Linked DNA regions of Arabidopsis thaliana. The protein of the gene in region 2 interacts with the protein of the main gene of each other region in a pairwise test. Each region holds a gene or a part of one and is shown on either strand. Other genes may lie near its edges. The genes, in order: UBC32, AT1G33100, UTR3 and ACBP6.

Region 1 (4,972 bases), on a different chromosome or scaffold from region 2:
AAGCAGTCACGTTCCCATAAATCAAAGTGTTTTTTTATTTTATAGTAATAGGCAGATGAAACAATTGCTGTTAAAAATCTGACTTCAAAGACACGCAAAAGCAGTGTTTGCTAGTTTTAGTACCTGAGGATCCCTGAGCAATAAGGACTGATAGACTTTTAACTTAGCTTCTTTTGCCACCATCCCTTCTTTTTTAAAAAAATATTATTTTCATTACGATCAACTTCATTTATTAATTTGAACCTTCGGTAACTTTTTCTCTTTTTAACGTTATATGGCAGTCAAAGGTCAAAGTTGATAACCTTTTCTAAACTGAAAAGTAAAAAAATAAGGTACAAGATGAGATCACACCAAACTAATGTGTGCAGAAGATACCCCAAAACTAATATGTTTCTGTAATTTATAATGAAAATACACACAAATATATAAACCACACGACTCACTACATGTGTGTTCATATACATACATATATGATCAAATTGTTAAACTTGACCATGAAATCTATTGATTTAAAAATTTGGATACATTTTAGACATCATGTACTCAAAACGGGAAATAGTTATGAACATAGTGGAGGTAATCAACAATTCTATTAACAAAGCATCAATGTATTGATAAAACGGTCGTCAGTGTTCAATTCCAAAATACATATTGTTAACTTGGTCACAAGCTATAATCCAATCTATCAACTAAGTTGCAAGACAATGTCACACAGAAATTATTTACGCCATTATGCACTTTAATTATATTTATAAAATATTAAACAACACAACCCCATTTCTTAAACGCAGCATTGACTTTCATCAGAGTTCAAGACTGATCATCCATAAACCCAGTACTGTAACCATTTGATTTTATGAACTTCTTCAGAAGAAGAACCATGATAGCGATTGTGAGCCCAACCGCCGCCCACGTGAAGAGTCTGTCATCGACTGGCTTCTGAGCCGCTCTTCTGGCCATCCTTTGCTCACCACTTACAGAAGCTTTGACCACAACTTCAACCGCTGGTAAAGGTGCTGCAGCGGGAACCACACTAGCTGCTGTATTGACTGCTTCAGCTGTCTCTTCTATGATTTGATCATCAACTATGGTGTCTGTTGTAGCGATGGACCGCTCTTCTACTACAGTTATCGCTTCCTGTGGCTCAACTTGGGAGTGAGCTTCTGATACGATGGAAGGTGCTTGGCTACATTCCAGAGGAAGAGGTTTTGGAACCACGGTTGCTTTGCTAAGGATGTACTGATGAATCTGCGCTTGTTAAAAGGTCATGGTTACTAAAAGTTTTTTCCAAAATTGAAGATGAATCAGAGGTATGAAACTAAAGTCATAACAAAAATCATGAAGAAAGGGACGAGAGTTTAGACCAAAAGGAGATTGTTAACACTACTATTGTCTTTTTTTTTATATTTGTGCAACTGACTACTTTTTAAAAACGACAATAATCAGTAAAATGGTGTGTTAGGACTTGAGCAGCAAATTTTACTGTATGGAGAGAATAATAACAGCTGTGATTGCAGTTAAAACAAAGCAGATACTCTTAGAGCAAACATTAAATCATAACCGCTAGAGATATGCAAGCCTAATATATAATATATTGCGATCCCGTTTTGACCACCAGCTAGTCCTATGGTTTATAATGATGCAATGCAATGGTATGGCACATACTCTACAGGTTCAGCAAGCATCTAGCTAAATTCATATATTTTCATCAGGATATTATGCATAGTGGTTCAACACCCAAGGGTATTCTAGTGGGGAACTATACCTCATCAATAATTTTTTGCCGTTCAGGAGAGCCATACTTAGGTGGTGTCTCACGTGATTTAATGGCTAGTGTACGTCTCTCATCCTTTGGATAATCTACTGAGCCCAGTGCTCCATTGGGACTTGTGGGCATAAATGCAATGAGAGCCACCAAAGCAGTCCGAACTGAAAAGAAACAAAGCTCAATCATAATACAAAAGAGCTGATATAGTTCAACCTCATGTAAATTACAAGTGTCTGAGTAATCTTTTAGGAAACAACATAAAAGTCAAGAGATAAGGTCTCTTGAGATCCATGACTTTACCACTCCATGAAGGTTGCCAATGCTCAGGGTGGTAGTTTGAAATGCTCAAGCAAATCTTGGTGTTAGTTTCAAAGCGCCCGTTAGGCTGAAACAAAAGTACAGAGATTCTTTAGATACATACTCTCTTATGGAACTTGCAACATCTGTGTGTTTTTATATATGAAATAAGAGTAAGATCCTTACGGTCAATAACATGAATGAAGGAGGTTTGAATGGATAATCTGCAGGCAACTGAATTCTCCCATGATAAATCCCGCCCTCGAATTCAGTATCACCAGGACCTCGGATGGCGAATTGCCACTCAAAGATATTCTCCTGAAGTTAAAAGATAGATAAGAGTAATCATGTAAACTATTTGGTATCACACAAGAACTTGTAAAAAACAGCTATAACATCGCGCGCAATCTATTTGGACCATGACATGTTGGAAAAAGTCTTCACAGTTAAAAAAATTAGAAACGAAGAACTAGTATGACAGCTGAGTGGATCAAGGAATCGTTCGTAATCTTCCCCACTTGACTCAGTTATTCCAATAAAAACACAAAAATCCAAACTTTATCTGTTGCACGAGTGTTGAAAGTAGAGAGACTTAGTAAATTCAGTGTATACAAGAAGATATATCGATCCTCCCTAATCATGATCGCCTAAAATCAAACACCATCACTCAGAACAGATACACAATTACAACACAACACAACATAACACAACAACATAAGACAAGGGGATTTTCTCAAAAAAGGAAATTTCAAATATAGATTCGAATCAAAATTCCCGATCTAAAAAGCTAGAATCGGAGATGTTACCTCAAGAGGAAGAGACATAAAATCATCAGACGGATTAGCTTGCATCTCCTTAACCTCCTGCAAAATCCTCTTCACCGCCGGATTCTTCCGATTATACCTCTCATCCGCCATCTTATTTATCCCCACGAGATCTTGCCGGAAGTGCAATCCGCCGCCGGAGTTCTCTCTGTCCGATTCGTCTTAACAGAAAATAATAAATACACAAAATTAGAATTACCACATGGCTTCGGGAGATGAGCTAATTAGTACGGTGATATAATACAAACACACAAAATTAATTCCAAAACATTTTCCACGTCACACTCTTTAACGACGGATACGTGACGTGAGAGAGCTTCTGAGTAAGTGCCACGTAATTAATAAACTTTAGTCATCCAAACATCTCAACGGTTCAGAAACTGTCACGTAATCTGAGAAATTTAAGCGCCTCTTTACAGCCGTCGATTTGGGAGAATCATTAAGCTATCGTGGCGAGACTTTAATAGGCCTTGGCCCATTAATTTAAAGCCCAATGAAACGTGCACGTCACAGACAACAGAAAATCAAAGCGTTGACAGTGAATCGGTGAAGAAGAAGAGTCTTGAGTCTTGAGTCTTGAGAGAAAGGAAGAAGAAGCAATTTCAATGGAGAAGAGAGGGGTGATCGACACATGGATTGATAAGCACCGTTCGATCTATACGGCGGCTACACGTCATGCTTTTGTCGTCTCGATCCGTGACGGATCCGTTGATCTCTCGTCCTTCAGAACTTGGCTGGTACTGTAATTAGTAATTACTGATGAAAACAAGGCAAAATATGAAATCTCACTCGATGACTTTTAAACGACGTTGTTTCCTTGTAGGGGCAAGATTATCTGTTCGTGAGGAGGTTTGTGCCGTTTGTAGCGAGTGTGTTGATCAGAGCTTGCAAAGATTCCGGCGAGAGTTCCGATATGGAAGTGGTGCTTGGTGGTATAGCATCGTTGAATGATGAAATAGAATGGTTTAAAAGAGAAGGATCGAAATGGGATGTTGATTTCTCGACCGTTGTGCCTCAAAGAGCTAATCAAGAATATGGCAGGTTATTGATTTCATATATGCTGATTGAATAGATTTCTCACACTCGAAAATGAAATTAGGAACCAGCAAATAAACCGGAGTTTCTGGTTAATTCAGGTTTTTGGAAGATCTGATGAGCAGTGAGGTGAAGTATCCGGTGATTATGACAGCTTTCTGGGCAATTGAAGCAGTGTATCAAGAGAGCTTTGCTCATTGTTTAGAAGACGGGAACAAAACTCCGGTGGAGCTTACCGGTGCTTGTCATCGTTGGGGGAATGACGGGTTTAAACAGTATTGTTCGTCTGTCAAGAACATTGCCGAACGTTGTCTGGAGAATGCCTCCGGTGAGGTGCTCGGTGAAGCTGAAGATGTACTTGTACGAGTTCTTGAACTAGAGGTTGCCTTCTGGGAGATGAGCCGTGGAGGACAGTAGCTAATGTTTGGGTTTGAATTTCTCATTTCCTCTAAATGCCAAAGAGAAACAAGTTCCAATCTTTATGTTTGGTGAAACACAAGTTGAGATTATGGTTTCATAACAGATTACATGAATACGGATTTGTCTCTGACTGGGGCAGAAGGTTGTTCCCGTCATTCCACATATTACACTTACTGGTAACTACATCAACTCCTAAAACTCTTAAGAACTCACCAATTGAAACCGAAAAGCTCTTTATTCTCTCCAGCGATGACCACAATTCGGGTTGCAACAGACAAAGAACAGTGTCATTCCTTCTTCACCTCTAGCCGTAGCCTGCACATTCAATGATAGCTACATTAAATCCTCAAGCGGTGTACAGAATTTGAGCATAATGTTTTGGGGAAGCAAACAGTGAAGATACAGCATAACCAAGTAGTTAAATAAATAATGGAGCTTAAGAGAGTTATACCTGGAAGAAAACGGCCTCCCTATGCTGACACTTAGAGCAACGCACAGCCTTGGTTCGGGGAAGAGTAGGGTCAGAAGCCACGTCTGTTAAGATCTGAGTTCGCTCACTTACAGAGTGATGAACCTCGTTTCTGTACACACAGCTGTTATCAGCTACCTCCTGCAAGTCAGTGCCACA
Region 2 (6,532 bases):
GAAAAAAACAAAACAAAGCTACGACAAGAGGAGGCAAAGAAGTCTACGTAAGCAGTCGCGTCACTGTAGTATTAGATCGGTATTTCCTTACAAAAGCTGTCCTTTTTTCACAATCGATCAATCATCATCATGAGGTCACGAACATGAAAACATTTTTAAAGTCACCAAACAAATCCAAAAAACTGTAGTAACAAATGGAGTAAATTATATATATATGCATGGCCAAATTTACGTTTCTTGGTACTAACAATATTTTGGCTATGTTTACGGGCAAAGGAGACGATTCTAGTTCTACACACATAATGACATAATACAATAGAACACCGAGAGAAAAAGAGTATATATAACTCAAATTCAACACTAAGCTGATTATATTCAGATAAAAATCTCTAAGCTAAATCATGTCTTTGAGGTACTACGAAAATTGGAAGCTAAGAGGGCTGTTGCTACGGTGGTTCAGTTCAAGATTTAATGGACCGTAACGTGAAGGTCTGTTTTTTCTTTGTATGCTCTTGTTTTTGTGTAATTCACAAGCTCCTTAAAAACTTCTGTAAACAACCTTTATTTTTTATCAATTTTTTTTTTCACATTTCATAAAAAAGGAACATCATCATAATCTTTAAATCTATCATATCTTCATATCATAATCCAAATTAATTATTCCTCTGATGAAATTTGATTTGCATCTCTAGATTCTGGTACAACCCACCGGTTTATATTTCTCAACGACGTAGATACCTACAAAAAAGTGGCAACAAACAGTATAAGCTGCAATCCAAGAACATAGCTTGCTTGAACAAACTAATTATTATTTTTGCTAAGGAACAAACTTATTATTTTGGAAGGAGAAACTACAATTTTTTTTCTTAAACAAATTAATTCAGGGAATATTATATAGTAATCAACTTCTGACCTGTTGATCCCAATCTGTTCTGAGAGTCATGACGGTGAGCACACAAGTCTGAACGAATATTCCAAAAAGCATTCCTATCCATACACCCTTCAAAATTAAAGAAGTAAAGTTTTATGTTAGTTTTATTACTTTTCAACATAAAAGAAAAATATATAAACTGAAAAACTTACTTTCACTTGCAAACCAACAACATAACCAAGGATAACACCAATAGGAATTCCGACAAGGTAATAGCAAGCAAGGTTAACGTAAGCCACATATCCTTGCCATCCCGCTCCGATTGCCACTCCTGTTAAGGTTTTAAACCAATTATAGATAAATACTACTCCAAATATTGGTTCGAATCCGATACTATAATAACCATTACGCGTCAACTAGCTAAAATATATACCAGAGAGAACAGGTTGAACACTGTTCAAGAGGATGGAAAATGCTAAAAGTGGAGAAAGATCAGCAACTTCGGCCGCGACAGCTTCACTTGTAGTGAAAATGTAGGAAATTCTTCCCCTCAAAAACAAAAAAACGAAGAATAGAACTATTCCTATAGAGAGTGACGTGAAAACCGCTATCAATGTTGCAAACTTGGCTCCTTTGGGGTTTCCACTACCGAGCTCGTTGGACACTCTTACACTATTTATATAGATAATTACAAATAAGATGATATATAAATAAAAGATCATACCAAGAAAAAAAGATAATATAGAAATAGTATCAATAAAGTGAAGTGTGTTGTATATAATCTATATATGTATCAATGCACCTTACTGCTGCCAAAAACCCAAGTGCTATCATCATCTCCAGTGCATTTATGCTGATGCTGCGAAGATAAATGGAAAAGATTAGTCGATTTATAATATATTATTTGTATGTACCATTACTCATACAATACTATAACTTATGAGTCAAGTTAGTACTAAAGAAAATGTATTTATGTTTCAATGTTTTGTATGGAGATCAGAATAGATATAGAAGGTCAATTCTTGTTTATTTACCAGATTGCTAGTGCATCAAGAGCCACCTCTGCGTTTTTCAAATTTCCAGTGAGCAATACCAATACCGAGTTGTACCATAACTCCAAGCTGTAAAAAATAACGACCACAAAGTAATCATCATCAATTTTTAAAAAGATAAGTAAATTAGAAAGAAAAAAAAAAACAAAAGAAAAAAGTAACTAGAACTATCATTAAATTATCAGTGAATATAATATACTCCTAAAAGTAATTCACCAAAAAAAAAATATACTCCTAAAAGTGTGTATAATATACTCCTAACATTCTCAGGAGTATATGCGTAAATGTAACAGTCGGATCAAATCCTACAAGATTGATAATTATATTATATAGTTTACAGCCTGAAAACTAATACATGGACTAAGTATATGCATCAAGTGGAACCAATCTCTTGTTTTGACCAACAATGACAATGAAAACTAAAGCTATCAGTATGAAAACATTTGGTTGATCCACTACTAGCTAATTCCTTAATTAAGTGTTCAAAACACAAAACAAAAATAGGAAACCTTACCAAAGCATTCCACCGGAAGACAAAGATAGTTTTAAGACGGGCCACAAATCTTTGAAGGCCAACATAGAGAATCCTCTCCATGTATCCTTACATCCACCACATGTTACATACAAGAGCTGCACAATGATAGGCAACCAGAACGCAATTAGCATAGAGGTCATCGCACCAGTGATCCCAAAATTGAAATGAGCCACTAGGAGCCACGAGAAGAAGACATGGAGCCCTAAGGAGACAGCAGTCACGTAGGAAATAATCTTGTTCTTGCTCTGAGCTTGGAGAAACATTTGGCAAGTGAAGGAGGGCACGAAGGAGAAGTTGATGCCTATGACCCATAGGGCTAAGACCCGAGCCACACGAACAATGCGTTCCTCTTGACCTAAAGCTAAGAGGATAGGGCCCGCAAAGATGAAGACGGGCATGAGGCAAATGGTACCACCTGTGAGGACGATCCATGACCTTTGGAGGTAGATCCCGAGCATCTGGTATTGTTTGGCTCCGTAGGCTTGACCACATAATGTTCCTAGTGCACCGGCCATACCTAACTGCAGTAGAACAATAGTTATAACCAAATTTGAGACAGCTGTAGTTTTGCATTGTGTAGTTTCAAAATAAATGTTAACCGGAATTACATATCCAAAAAATACTCCAAAACCATATAAACTTATACAAATTTTAATTGAGTTTGATAATAGTTTCTTCACACGACCACCTAATCTGTATTAAAAATTCAAATAAGTGAGACCAAATTTTATAATATAGTTTTGGTCTAACTTATTTTGAAAACGTTTCGGAAACGCAAAAATTATTACGGAAACGCGTTTCCTAAAAATCCATGTTTGGAAACACGATGAAAACTCGCGTTTTTGAAATAGACATACGACAAATATTTTTTATTGACTTTGAAAATTTAATAACTAAAATTGGAAATATTAAGATTATTAATACATATAACTAATTTTGGAAAACTCTTAGTTTTAAGATTTTTTTCTTGATAAACCAGATTTGAAGAGAGTTTTATATTATCTTTGATGAAACTAATGAAAATAAGAATAAAAATGTTGGTCTAAATTAGATATTAAAATTTGAATCTTTTAAATTTTAATCTTTATCTTTTAGAATTTTAGTTAGCTTATTTAATATTGATAGTTTAGACTTATATTGTTTAAATCATTTTTTATTTAATATAGTTTTATGTATATATATATATATATTTATATGTTTTTAAAACGTTTCTAATCTCTAATTTTAATAAAAAATTGATTCCCGTTTCTGAAACGTTTCGCATCCGCGTTTCTGTTTCCGTTTCCATGCAACTTAGTTATAGCATAAATTCACCTACATGTTTTTTTTTTTTAATTTTCACCTACATGGTCTGACCTTGTAATATAGTTATTTCTTAATCACTAATAATCAAGAGATTAGATTAAATAAAAATTGAAGTAGTACTCACCACCACGATACCATTACTGAAGCGGAGAAGAATCCATAGTAATCAAGGGATTCATTAGATTAAATAAAATTGGAAAAATTGATATAAATGAAGCTACGTATACCATTACCAAGATCGCTATAGTAAACTCACCAAGATACCATTACTGAAACGGAGGAGAATGGTGAAGGTGATAGAGTAAGCGGCCAACTCGGTTGGGCCAAGATGGCCAATGAAAGCTTGAGTTACCATTGAAACTCCGAACGTAGAGTATCTTGTGAAGATCGCTGGCGCCGCCACAACCCACAGTTTCTTTGATTCAATCCAAACCTTCTCCTTCATCCCCAACTCATCCTCTTCTTCTCTGCCGGTCTTTTTCACCAGAGCCTCCGTGAGCTCTCCTCCTCTTCCGGCCATCGTGGAGTCTATGTGTTTTTATCTGATAGGAGGAAATAAATAGAAGAAAGAGAGAGCAGAGAGTTTGAGTTTAAGAAGCAATTTTTTTTATATTTCAGCTGGGAAACAAAAGGTCGTCAACGCCTTTTGTAGCAGTGAGTGACTAAGTGATGAAAATACTCTAAGAAATAGATGCATTTTAAGATCACCTAAGATCGTGCATTCATCGATCATTTGTTTAAATGCAATTATCTATAATTCATATCTAAACTTTATCTTTATATATGCTTAAAAAGTGTGTGTTTGGAAAGTATATTGGAATAAAACAAAATATTTTTATCAAAAATATAATTATTCATATACATATTTCTTGGTCGTGAGTCTCGTGTCTATGTGTTGCATAATAAACCCATTTAAAAAAAATAAAAATATAAAAAAAAAATCAAGAAACGAGCATATCAAACTACAATAGTCAAATTCTTGTTCTAAGCAACGTAAGCAATTACAATTTTTAGTGAATTAAGATTGTCGTATATATTTATTATGAGGATTTCCAGAATCAAACGTTTATTTTTCTTTGTCAAAATGAATCAATCAATTTAACGTTTTAGCCACGAAGATCTTTTAAAAATAATTACCAATATAATTTCTTTAAACATGTTTGTACTTTTCCTATGATAAACGAAGAAATTTCATTTTTTTTAAATGGTAATCAGTTTATAAAACATGATTATTTTAATCTCTTTTAGTGTCATCATAGTAGTAAGCACACAAATTTCCCCAAAATTCCAAAGGTACTCTCTTCTTTTTATTGGTCATACCCTAATTCGCACTATTTCAATAACTAGTATATCTCAAAATTCTACCAAAGTTTAATTTTACTATGAGTTAACATGTTGGTGAAATTAAAGAACTAAAAGGGATTTTATCTTTTAAATAGCTCATTAATAAATTTTAGTTATCCTCTTCTTTGATTATAATAAATTATATAGATTGTACTCTCTTTTTTCATTGTACCACAACAACAACAACAACAACAAAAAGCCTAATAAATTACCATCAAAATTTATTTCATATTGAAAATCTGAGTTAGAAAGAACTATTGCCCAAAATAACATCATAATTATATAATATCTTTGTTCATATCATAATCCAAACGAATTATTCCTCTGATGAAATTTGATTTGCATCTCTAGATTCTGGTACAACCCACCGGTTTATATTTTTCAACGACGTAGATACCTACAGAAAAAAGTGGCAACAAACAATATAATTAAGCTCCAAACCAATAACATAGCTTGCTTGAACAAACTAATTATTTTGGAAGGGGAAACTACAATTTTGTTTATTTAAACCTGTTGATCCCAATCTGTTCTGAGAGTCATGATGGTAAGCACACAAGTCTGAACAAATATTCCAAAAAGCATTCCTATCCATACACCCTTCAAAAAAAGATAAGTAAAGTTTTATGTTGTTTTCAATTGTTAATTTTATTACTTTTGTTCATTATGAAGAAAAAATATATAAAGAGAAAAACTTACTTTGACTTGCAAACCAACAACGTAACCAAGGACAAGACCAACAGGAATTCCGAGAAGGTAATAGCAAGCAAGGTTAATGTAAGCCACATATCCTTGCCATCCCGCTCCCACTGCCACTCCTGATAAGGTTTGAAACCAATTAAAGGCATATACTACGTTTCAAATATCAGTTCGAATTCGATACGATGATAACCATCACGCTTGAACTAGCTAATGTATATACCTGAGAGAACGGGTTGAACACTGTTCAAGAGGATGGAAAATGCTAAAAGTGGAGAAAGATCAGCGACTTCGGCTGCCACAGCTTCACTTGTAGTGAAAATGTACGAAATTCTTCCCCTTAGAAACAAGAAGACGAAGAATAGAACTAATCCTATAGAGAGTGACGTGAAAACCGCTACGATTGTTGCAAATTTGGCGCCTTCGGGGTTTCCCCTACCGAGCTCGTTGGACACTCTTACACTATATATAGAGATAATTACATAGAAGAGTGATATATAAATAATATTAAGATCATACCAAGAAAAAAAAAGATAAGATATAATTAGTATCAGTGAAGTGAAGTGTATCTGTGTATAGTATATATATCAATGCACCTTACTGCTGCCAAAAACCCAAGTGCTATCATCATCTGCAGTGCATTTACGTTGATGCTGCAAAAAAGAAATGGAAAAGATTAGTCGATTTGTAAAATATTATAATTTGTATGTTACTCTATTTATACTCATA
Region 3 (4,560 bases), 7.1 Mb from region 2:
CACTAGGGATCGAGTCCTCATCTCCATGTCCAAGTGCTAATCCTTCAAAACCACCCCCTTGCAAAAGAGTCCTTCTCCATAGCTTGTAAACCAACCAACCATCTCTCTCATACCCTAAACCGCGGTTTAGTCTCCATGGAGACGTAATTTTTTCCACTTTTGCTTAGATTTCATATTAGGTTTTGCAGCCATATCGGCCTGGAAGTTTTTGTGAAGCGGGCATGCCATGATCTGCATTCCTCCCTCAAGGTTTTTAAGTTTCTTTCCTGGTCCTAGAATGTTAACGGTAACATTTTCTAGCCCCATCAAAGAATGTTCTCAAGAATCTGCCATATACTCAGATTCAGATTTCTCTTTCTTTTCTTACTTAACATAAGGAAGCCATCTACAAAAGAAGGCACCAGTGTGTCTTTAAGAAAAAATTCTTTGGTTTGTCTCTAAGGGCTTTACTCAGATACATCATCTGAGCATTTTCCCCAGATTTCTTGATTTGTTTTCATCATCTCTGTACAGAATCTCTATCACATATATATAAAGAAGTTTTCCAGAGTGTAACTTTAGGAAAAATGAAAAACTCAGAAGGAAGAGTTTGTTGTATTGTTAAGACAAATATATATGAGTGGAAATATATGATTTGTCTTTTGGTTTGATATATATAAGTTTCTTCTAATGCATTAGTTTACATTTTGCTAATGGACTAAGCTTTCTTCTCTCTAACTTTCAGACATATTTGGAAGTAAAAAGTTTCCAAATCAAAAACAATTTTCTTGAAGAATTAAATATTTTGATCCCCAATCTCAGCTTCAGGCCTTTTTCTTCTTCTGCATTCTCTGCAGCTTCCTCCATTTCAGGTAAATTTGGTAAGACAATCCACCGAACACCATCGACACACATCCCCATTGTTTGGAAGATAACGGATTCCCGCTCAAAACTGAAGATACCACGATGCTTACAAACTTCCTGGTTGTGGTTATGGTCGTGTTAGCTAGAGACCCGAATCTGCTTATTGTCAAGAAGATGAAGTTTTGGCCTACTGCACCGCATAAACAGTACATAAGAATGTCCCATGCTGCCTCAGGGTGTTGCTTGCAGAACTGCACAGCTTCAAATCCGCTCCCATGTGGCAATCCAAACATGTAGACCATGTTGTATATGGTTCCCCATAAATTCATTCCCAGCATTATGTCCCATGCGTTAGTTTTGGGGTACCTGTATCCATGTATGGCGATGATTAATGTCCAACATCTAGACCATGTTGTAGATGTCAGACTGGGTTAAGTATCTGACAGAATGTCAAGAGTCATACCTTGCGGTAATGGAATCCTGGGTTGCGTTTGTGAATCCATCAAAGGCAAGGTTTAAGAAGCAAAGCCCGTAACCAAGGGGTGCATTGGGATGTGCTAGCTTGCTGATGGTTTTAGAGCTTGTCTGTAAACCAAGTCAAAGACGGTTTACTACATTTCCACAGACAAAGTATAACAAAGATTATGATCAAAGTTCCTGAATGCAGATTTGCCTACCTTAAGAAGGGCAAACATAGATACTCCTCCGGCAACAAGAAAGGTGCAAAGATACTCAGGCAAAGTGTATCTTATGCCATAAACTAAGGAGCCCATCAGCATAACTACATGAAAGAAAAAACATATATAAGATACACATAGCAGCAGTTGAGAGCGATTATGGATTGATGCTCTAAATTGACACCTCACCTGGAATCATTTTGGAAGATTTTGCAAGGACCTGCAAGAAGCAAGTTTTGCATCAATATTACTTCCCAAGAAAGGTTATTACCTCAACTATCAACCATAATCAAGAAAAATGAGGTTTTTATTACACTAACAATGCCTAATTTACCTGAGCTGGGTAACTAATATACTTTAAAGCTTCAATGCCCATAGCAGGACCAATGGTATTAGTAATGCCAGCACTCCAATACGTCCACCATGGGGCTCCACCAGAACCTCCGTTGGACCAGAGCTTAATCACTGCTCATAATCAATCAAAAATACTTCAGTTCCATTTATTCGTCTGTTATAAACTTATAATTCTAAGGAATAAACAATGAAGATGCCCTACTCACTTATATAAGACCAAACCAAGCAGATTACATTCTGAGCCAAATTCAGAAATGCAAGATGCTCGAATCTCTTCCCATCTTCACCAAATTTCTTCGTCGACCTAATTCGAAAATGTTAGAGTTCTATCAGCTACATTTCTATAAATTTCCAATAATTGCAAACGCATCACCAACCAGGATTCCGAGAATAGAAACAATCTCGAACAAACAGAATCGAGCAATGTCGAGAGAAAATAATCAACGAGCTAAAATAAGATTGATCGATTTCGACCCTAACGAGTTTTACTTACAAGGTCTCTTGAAGAATGCCTTGGTATATGTAAGCTGCCCAGATCCCAGCGACACAGAACGACAATAACAGAACTCGCCGGAGACCGGAACCGTGAGATTCCATCGCCGCACGTCGCTTATTGTTTTATCCGACGGAGCTCCGGCGAAAATTTGAATTTCAATTTTACGCTATTTGATCAGTTTTGCGATCAAATTATGAGATCGGTCTGAAGTGGAAACGAAAGTTATTAGAGAGAGTGTAGGAGGCGCGAGAAAGACGTAGATTTTCCACGTGTAACTGTGTCATTGGCTTAATAATCTGACATGACACTTCTGATTGGCTATAGGACGTGGATTTATTTCTGGAATCCAAGTCATATGCACATTCATGTCTGAGATAGGAATGGGAACTATGTGCCGTTTTATTGTCATGAAAACGTCACGCAGTTTCCTAGAACTTGTAAACGGATGTTCTTTTTACAGCTTGGGCCTTAATTTGATTAAGCAAACTTGCACACAGCTAATCATGTCAGTTTGACTAACTGATGAATTCATACAAATCTAAGATCACTTGTGGTAAGAAAATGAAAGAAAAAGGCGTATATACACAAATGGAGGAAAGTTGCCAACATGATTTAATTGATTAAAATTTAGTGATGACCCATTGTTAAGATTACTAAAACAAAATATGATATATCTTAAAGTAAATGTGACAATAACGTCAACATAGCGAGAAAAGTTTGAAATATCGAATTTCCATTATATTAAAACAAGGTATCACATGCATGCACTCATGCATAGTTCATTATGATTTGAGTAATTTTCTATACGAATAATATTATACTATATCTCAATGAAAATAGAAGTTATATATATTGGGAAACGGAATTTATATGACATACTTAATCCTCATGGGAGAACCAATTATACATTTTGAAGAGTCAAAAGTCAAAACTCAAAAGAGTGACTCTTACCGGATACAAAATGAAAATAGAAGTCTTGGTGAGATAACAAATTAATGTGTAACATAACAATATAATATCATAAAAGATTCCAAATGGGGCTTTTGTCCACACGTGATATGCAATATGCAAAAGAAAAAAGAACTCTCTTTCGATCTGCCGGTCAATAACAATGTGAATATAGATTAACTGATTAATAAGTAGTTTCTTGGGTCAATGCATGGGATATTATATTTAAGAAATACACCAAAAATGTATTCGACGTTAGCCACCACGTTCCATTAAAAATTCAAATCTAAATGATGATTACCGTCGTCTACATCTATGATTACAAATTTTTTGTCTACTATGCGTTTAGTTATTTACCATGGTTTGACGATTATATATATAACACACATAAATTATGACGGTTTAACGTTGTCTCTTAACTCAAAACTTAATTTTACAAAAATATTATTTAAGAGTTGAATCTCATACTTTAATTATTCATTTGGTCAACTAGAATGCGAAAAATCCACAATACTTCGTAACTAATTTCGGGTCCTTTAAATCTTGATCACCTGTTGATCAACAAAAGATCTACACATAAAGATTGATTCATCCATTGACTAAACTTTTATTTATCGAAGAAAGACTATATATATCTAATGCATGCATGCCATATGCACAATAATCTAATAGTAAATCCAATACGTCTCAGAAAGATAAAATCGTCCATAATACCAAATTTTATTCTAAGGTTTTGATATCTCTCATAATTTGGAAGTGTATGTAAAAGTTTCTTAAACATAAATATAACATCCAAAGAAAAGTTGTAAACACTTAACATCTTGATTGAAGGGGAATCTCGCTAATAATTGTGACTGAACGATAGTAAGTATTATTGTAAAATATCGATCAAAATTTCAACGATATGGGCGATCCAGACCCACCACTTTGTTGTCCCTTAGCAGACGTCAACCATGACCATAATTAGTTAAAAAAAACACCAAACAAAAACCACAACTTCCTTTTAATTCTTTTTAAATTCTAAATTTCAGACTAACAAAAAGTATTCATAAGCTGTTTCATGTATGAATTTAATATCATGAATACTAATAACTTGAGCCATTAACTTTAACCAAAAAAAAAAACTTGAACAATCTAATATAATTCCCTGTAACATTTAAAAGATGGAGATGGGAAAACAAGAATTCTAAAGAAACATTGTAAAAATGAAACAGAGACAAATATTTTCAAGCAAGTCTTGTT
Region 4 (3,747 bases), 590 kb from region 2:
TCAACATTATCTTCAAAAACCTCCTACAAAAATGTATATATAGATTAATTATTTCACTTATATTAAAATATATAAAAGAATTTGTTATGTTAAAGTGCATATACTATATATTTATATCGTTTAATTTTCAATTGAAAAACACAATGCATTTAATATAAAAATTCTAGATGTATAATTTTGATAAAGAGATTATCATAATACTAAATATTAGTATGTTCAACATACAATTAATTATTTTAATATTCTACAATATTATTTAATTTCTTGAATCACGGTTAAGAGATTATCATTAAGGGAAGGAAGTTAATCTACAATCAATAAAAAATAAAAGTAATTATGATCAACTCAATAAAAAAACTATTGTTTTTGTCATCTACCAAATTATAAACCTCAAATTTGTAGACACTTTAAAACTAAACGTCTATTTATTTACGAATTTGACTTTAAATAAACCACATACAATTTGAACAATTCTGCCAATGTTCGAGACGAAAAAAATAAATAAAAAATCTGCCACGTTCTTTTTTTTTCCAGCTTTTGTCTTATGTACTCCAAATTGAAATAAAACGAAAGTTTTCTAGTGAGTGGTGAATGCGATGGACCATGAAGAAAAAGACCTACGGACCAGAACGAATATATCATCTTGAATTCAACTGTTTTAACTAAGACCATATCGAGGACGGACCAAAAATAACTTATGGATTTAGTTTGCATCATGATTCTCTGTTTTAACCAATATCAAGCATTTTTAAGAGATCACACCATGTCACAAAGTAGATAGCTTAAATATGATAGAAACACAAGAGCAAGAACAAGTCTTATGCAATGTTATTTTGATGCTTAAGATAAAGTTACTGCAGATGAGGATTTGATTCATCAGGTTGAAGCCTTGGAAGCAGCAACTTCCAAGAGTTGCTTGACCTTAGTGATATAGTCATTCATGGCTTCTTCCGATGATTTCCCTGACATCATAAACAAAGAAAAGTTCAAATTCAATTCCCCAAGCACAAAAAATTGTTGAACTTGAGACAAGAATCCAAATTACAAACAAATCACTAAGCTAAAAAAGTTGATCACTTGAATTGTTTTTGTACCTTCAACAGCCTTCCAAGCATCCCACTTGGCTCTCTCCTTCATGCTGAACATTCCAGGACGACCTTTGAATCAATCAATAAACAAATACACATTATTAACAACATTACAGAAAAGTGAACTAAGAAGCAAAAATAGAGGATGTTAATATTCAGACAAAAATATTAACTGGTGTCCACAGGCCCAAACTTGGCTTGCTTGTAGAGTCCGTAGAGAATGAGCAAATCCTCGTTGGATGGCAACTCCGTGAGCGTATTCACTTTCTCAGCGTGCTCCTCAAATTCCTCCTGCAGATATATAAATCAGTGAAACAACAAATTCGAAGAAAAGATTCTTAATAGCCTAATACACCATCAAACATATTACTACTTAAAATTCTCAATCGGGATACAATAATCAAACAAAACTCAATAAAACCAAACCTAGCTCAGATTCAAAACTATATTACCCATCAGCAAACAGTGTTTAACAAATCAGTTATAAGAACAGTAAATGGACAAAATCATACAGAGAAAAAGCGTGATCAGTAATAATTCAATTCCATAAAGTGATCATTCTTGACTATACAAGCTTCAATTTCGTAACTATAAGGAACCTATATATCTGCAAATCTGGATCAAACAAGGCTACCAACACAGAAAATATAGAATTCAGGAATGGTGAACACAAACAAAACTAAGATCCGAGTAGTAATAAACCGAAACCGAGATCGGTTTGGTTCATTTTGGATCTGAACGTACCTTCAAACCCATGATGAATAGACGTCGGAAGTTGAGATTGGTAGGAGAATTAAATCAGTGTAAGACGGAGAAGACGAGGACAACGCGTGAGATATATATGGGCGTCATGATAAACCTCTCAGGCCCATAAGCCATAACTATTAAATATTTTCTTTAAAGGAAATAAATATTTTTAGAGATAGATACTGTATACGTGGATTCAGACACCCCGTTGATTGGCTTATTCTGATCAGTATGGGTACAACTGTAAAACAAAGAACATGTTCTGTTTTTTCTTTTTTTTGCTCATCGAACATGTTCCTTCTCCATTGAAATGACAATATTAATTTTCTGTTCCATCAGAAAAACCATAAGCATATCCTTTTGTAAACTTAAATAGTTTAATGAAAAAAAAACTATTTCTGTTTCTGTGCTAGTTGAATATTATCCTTTGGATCATTTTAGATATCCAGACACGTAGATTTCTTCCCACTACAACAAATCAAACCAAAAGGGATCTTTGGTGATTATAAGAAAAAAGGGAGGAAATCTTGGAAGATTACCTAACAAATCAAGGAATATAAATGTTAGATCAAAACCATAAAGACCATTCCTCCACAAGTAAACTAAACTAAATTAAAAAGAGGTTAAGGTTAGGTTATAAAACTGTACAATCAAGGCAAAATCCTCTATAGTCGCTTCACCAGGTAAACAAAAAAAGAAAAAACGGATCAATTTGCTCTTATGTTATCCCCCAAACAGCGACTATATCAAGTGTTATCTATGTCAAAACTCTCGAAATTTACTTGATATTCATTACTGAACATCAAAAACACATAGAGAGCATAGACCTGTTCGAGCAGAAATCTTCTCAATATCGCTTGCATTCCTATAATAAATCTTACCAATAGAGAGATGCTACTGAGGATAGTACGGTGGGCGGTACTGAGGTGGTGGCATCCCATAACCAGTTTGCTGCACATAAAAGACGGGTCGAGAAGCTGGAGCTGGAACCGAGCCAAATAGAGCCCTTGGGTTGCCATATGGGACAGCAACACCAGGAAGTATTGAGCTTAAAAGACCATATGGGTTCACTTGTAAAATCTGACTAGGAGTAGGCAAAAGTGGTGGTTGTTGTTGCGGCCTCAGAGGTGGGATTGTCAAATTATATTCCATACTTGAACCATTAGCAACTCGAGGACGCTTATTATCGACCTTTTGTTCTTGTGGTTGTTGGGGATTAGCAGGTGAATTGAACTTAGTGGCACGCTTCCTCTGAGCTTTCTGATCCTCCAACTCCTTAACACATTCTTCGAGTTTCTCTTCCATGAACTCGGACTCGATGTTTTTCTCTTTCACGACTTTGATAACTGCTCTCAAAGCACTTAGTTCTTTATCAGTAGCTTCGTTCTGCACCTTAAGAGAGTAATTCCCTTCAGCACAAACTCTCTTAGCAGCTTCTCTAGAGTTCTTCAAACTAGTTTTCAAAATCGAAACTGGTTCAAATTCACCCACCATCTCATTCTCGTAAATGAATCTAATAGCAACAAGTAATCTCCCAGTATCCAAAAACTTCTGAACGAGAACTCCTATTCGATTTCTATCTAAACCAATCTTCTTGCAGATCGTTGTTGCTTGTTTATACTTAGAGATCAAGAAAATGTAATCACAAATCTCCTCAGTACTAAATAAAGACCCTAATTCAAAAGCTGCAACCAAATGCAAAAACCCTAACGCTTCTGATGGTTTGTTACCTATATTTGGTTTCCAATCATAAGCAATAGTCCTAGCTCTTTCTCTCAAATCATTCGTGAGATTCGCATTGATCTCAATCAAAGCTTCTAATAACAAAACGAAGATCCTCTTCACATCGATCGCTCTCGCCGAGGAAGACGACGATGGTGATGAGCAATGGTAAGAACCTTCGATTGCATCT

Evidence for each region.
Region 1: the proteins of AT1G33100 (region 2) and UBC32 interact in a protein complementation assay, tested with the Arabidopsis thaliana proteins (one large-scale study listed by BioGRID).
Region 3: the proteins of AT1G33100 (region 2) and UTR3 interact in a protein complementation assay, tested with the Arabidopsis thaliana proteins (one large-scale study listed by BioGRID).
Region 4: the proteins of AT1G33100 (region 2) and ACBP6 interact in a protein complementation assay, tested with the Arabidopsis thaliana proteins (one large-scale study listed by BioGRID).

The regions. Positions count from the first base shown.
Region 1 is NC_003074.8:5,795,306-5,800,277, reverse strand, and holds UBC32 (ubiquitin-conjugating enzyme 32), read right to left. Parts: upstream 3,349-4,972; 5' UTR 2,983-3,348; coding exon 2,872-2,982; intron 2,384-2,871; coding exon 2,252-2,383; intron 2,154-2,251; coding exon 2,069-2,153; intron 1,930-2,068; coding exon 1,766-1,929; intron 1,249-1,765; coding exon 811-1,248; 3' UTR 531-810; downstream 1-530. Other genes in the region: AT3G16990 (heme oxygenase-like, multi-helical), read left to right, coding at 3,495-3,626, 3,713-3,930, 4,026-4,341; NRPB9A (RNA polymerases M/15 Kd subunit), read right to left, coding at 4,579-4,659, 4,796-4,954. UniProt on the Arabidopsis thaliana protein: Accepts the ubiquitin from the E1 complex and catalyzes its covalent attachment to other proteins.
Region 2 is NC_003070.9:11,995,434-12,001,965, reverse strand, and holds AT1G33100 (MATE efflux family protein), read right to left. Parts: upstream 4,467-6,532; 5' UTR 4,284-4,466; coding exon 4,020-4,283; intron 2,980-4,019; coding exon 2,438-2,979; intron 1,993-2,437; coding exon 1,906-1,992; intron 1,731-1,905; coding exon 1,674-1,730; intron 1,544-1,673; coding exon 1,305-1,543; intron 1,203-1,304; coding exon 1,084-1,202; intron 1,001-1,083; coding exon 914-1,000; intron 739-913; coding exon 658-738; 3' UTR 545-657; downstream 1-544. Other genes in the region: AT1G33090 (MATE efflux family protein), read right to left, coding at 5,424-5,504, 5,618-5,704, 5,804-5,922, 6,027-6,265, 6,400-6,456.
Region 3 is NC_003070.9:4,910,559-4,915,118, forward strand, and holds UTR3 (UDP-galactose transporter 3), read right to left. Parts: upstream 2,610-4,560; 5' UTR 2,472-2,609; coding exon 2,368-2,471; intron 2,179-2,367; coding exon 2,081-2,178; intron 1,986-2,080; coding exon 1,855-1,985; intron 1,741-1,854; coding exon 1,710-1,740; intron 1,625-1,709; coding exon 1,521-1,624; intron 1,429-1,520; coding exon 1,307-1,428; intron 1,210-1,306; coding exon 804-1,209; 3' UTR 535-803; downstream 1-534. Other genes in the region: FLP (Duplicated homeodomain-like superfamily protein), read left to right, coding at 1-89. UniProt on the Arabidopsis thaliana protein: Essential sugar transporter required for the transport of UDP-glucose from the cytoplasm into the Golgi and the endoplasmic reticulum. Essential for pollen development and involved in embryo sac progress.
Region 4 is NC_003070.9:11,410,256-11,414,002, forward strand, and holds ACBP6 (acyl-CoA-binding protein 6), read right to left. Parts: upstream 1,979-3,747; 5' UTR 1,845-1,978; coding exon 1,833-1,844; intron 1,380-1,832; coding exon 1,262-1,379; intron 1,158-1,261; coding exon 1,095-1,157; intron 963-1,094; coding exon 877-962; 3' UTR 511-876; downstream 1-510. Other genes in the region: FRL2 (FRIGIDA like 2), read right to left, coding at 2,730-3,747. UniProt on the Arabidopsis thaliana protein: Binds medium- and long-chain acyl-CoA esters with very high affinity. May function as an intracellular carrier of acyl-CoA esters. Confers resistance to cold and freezing.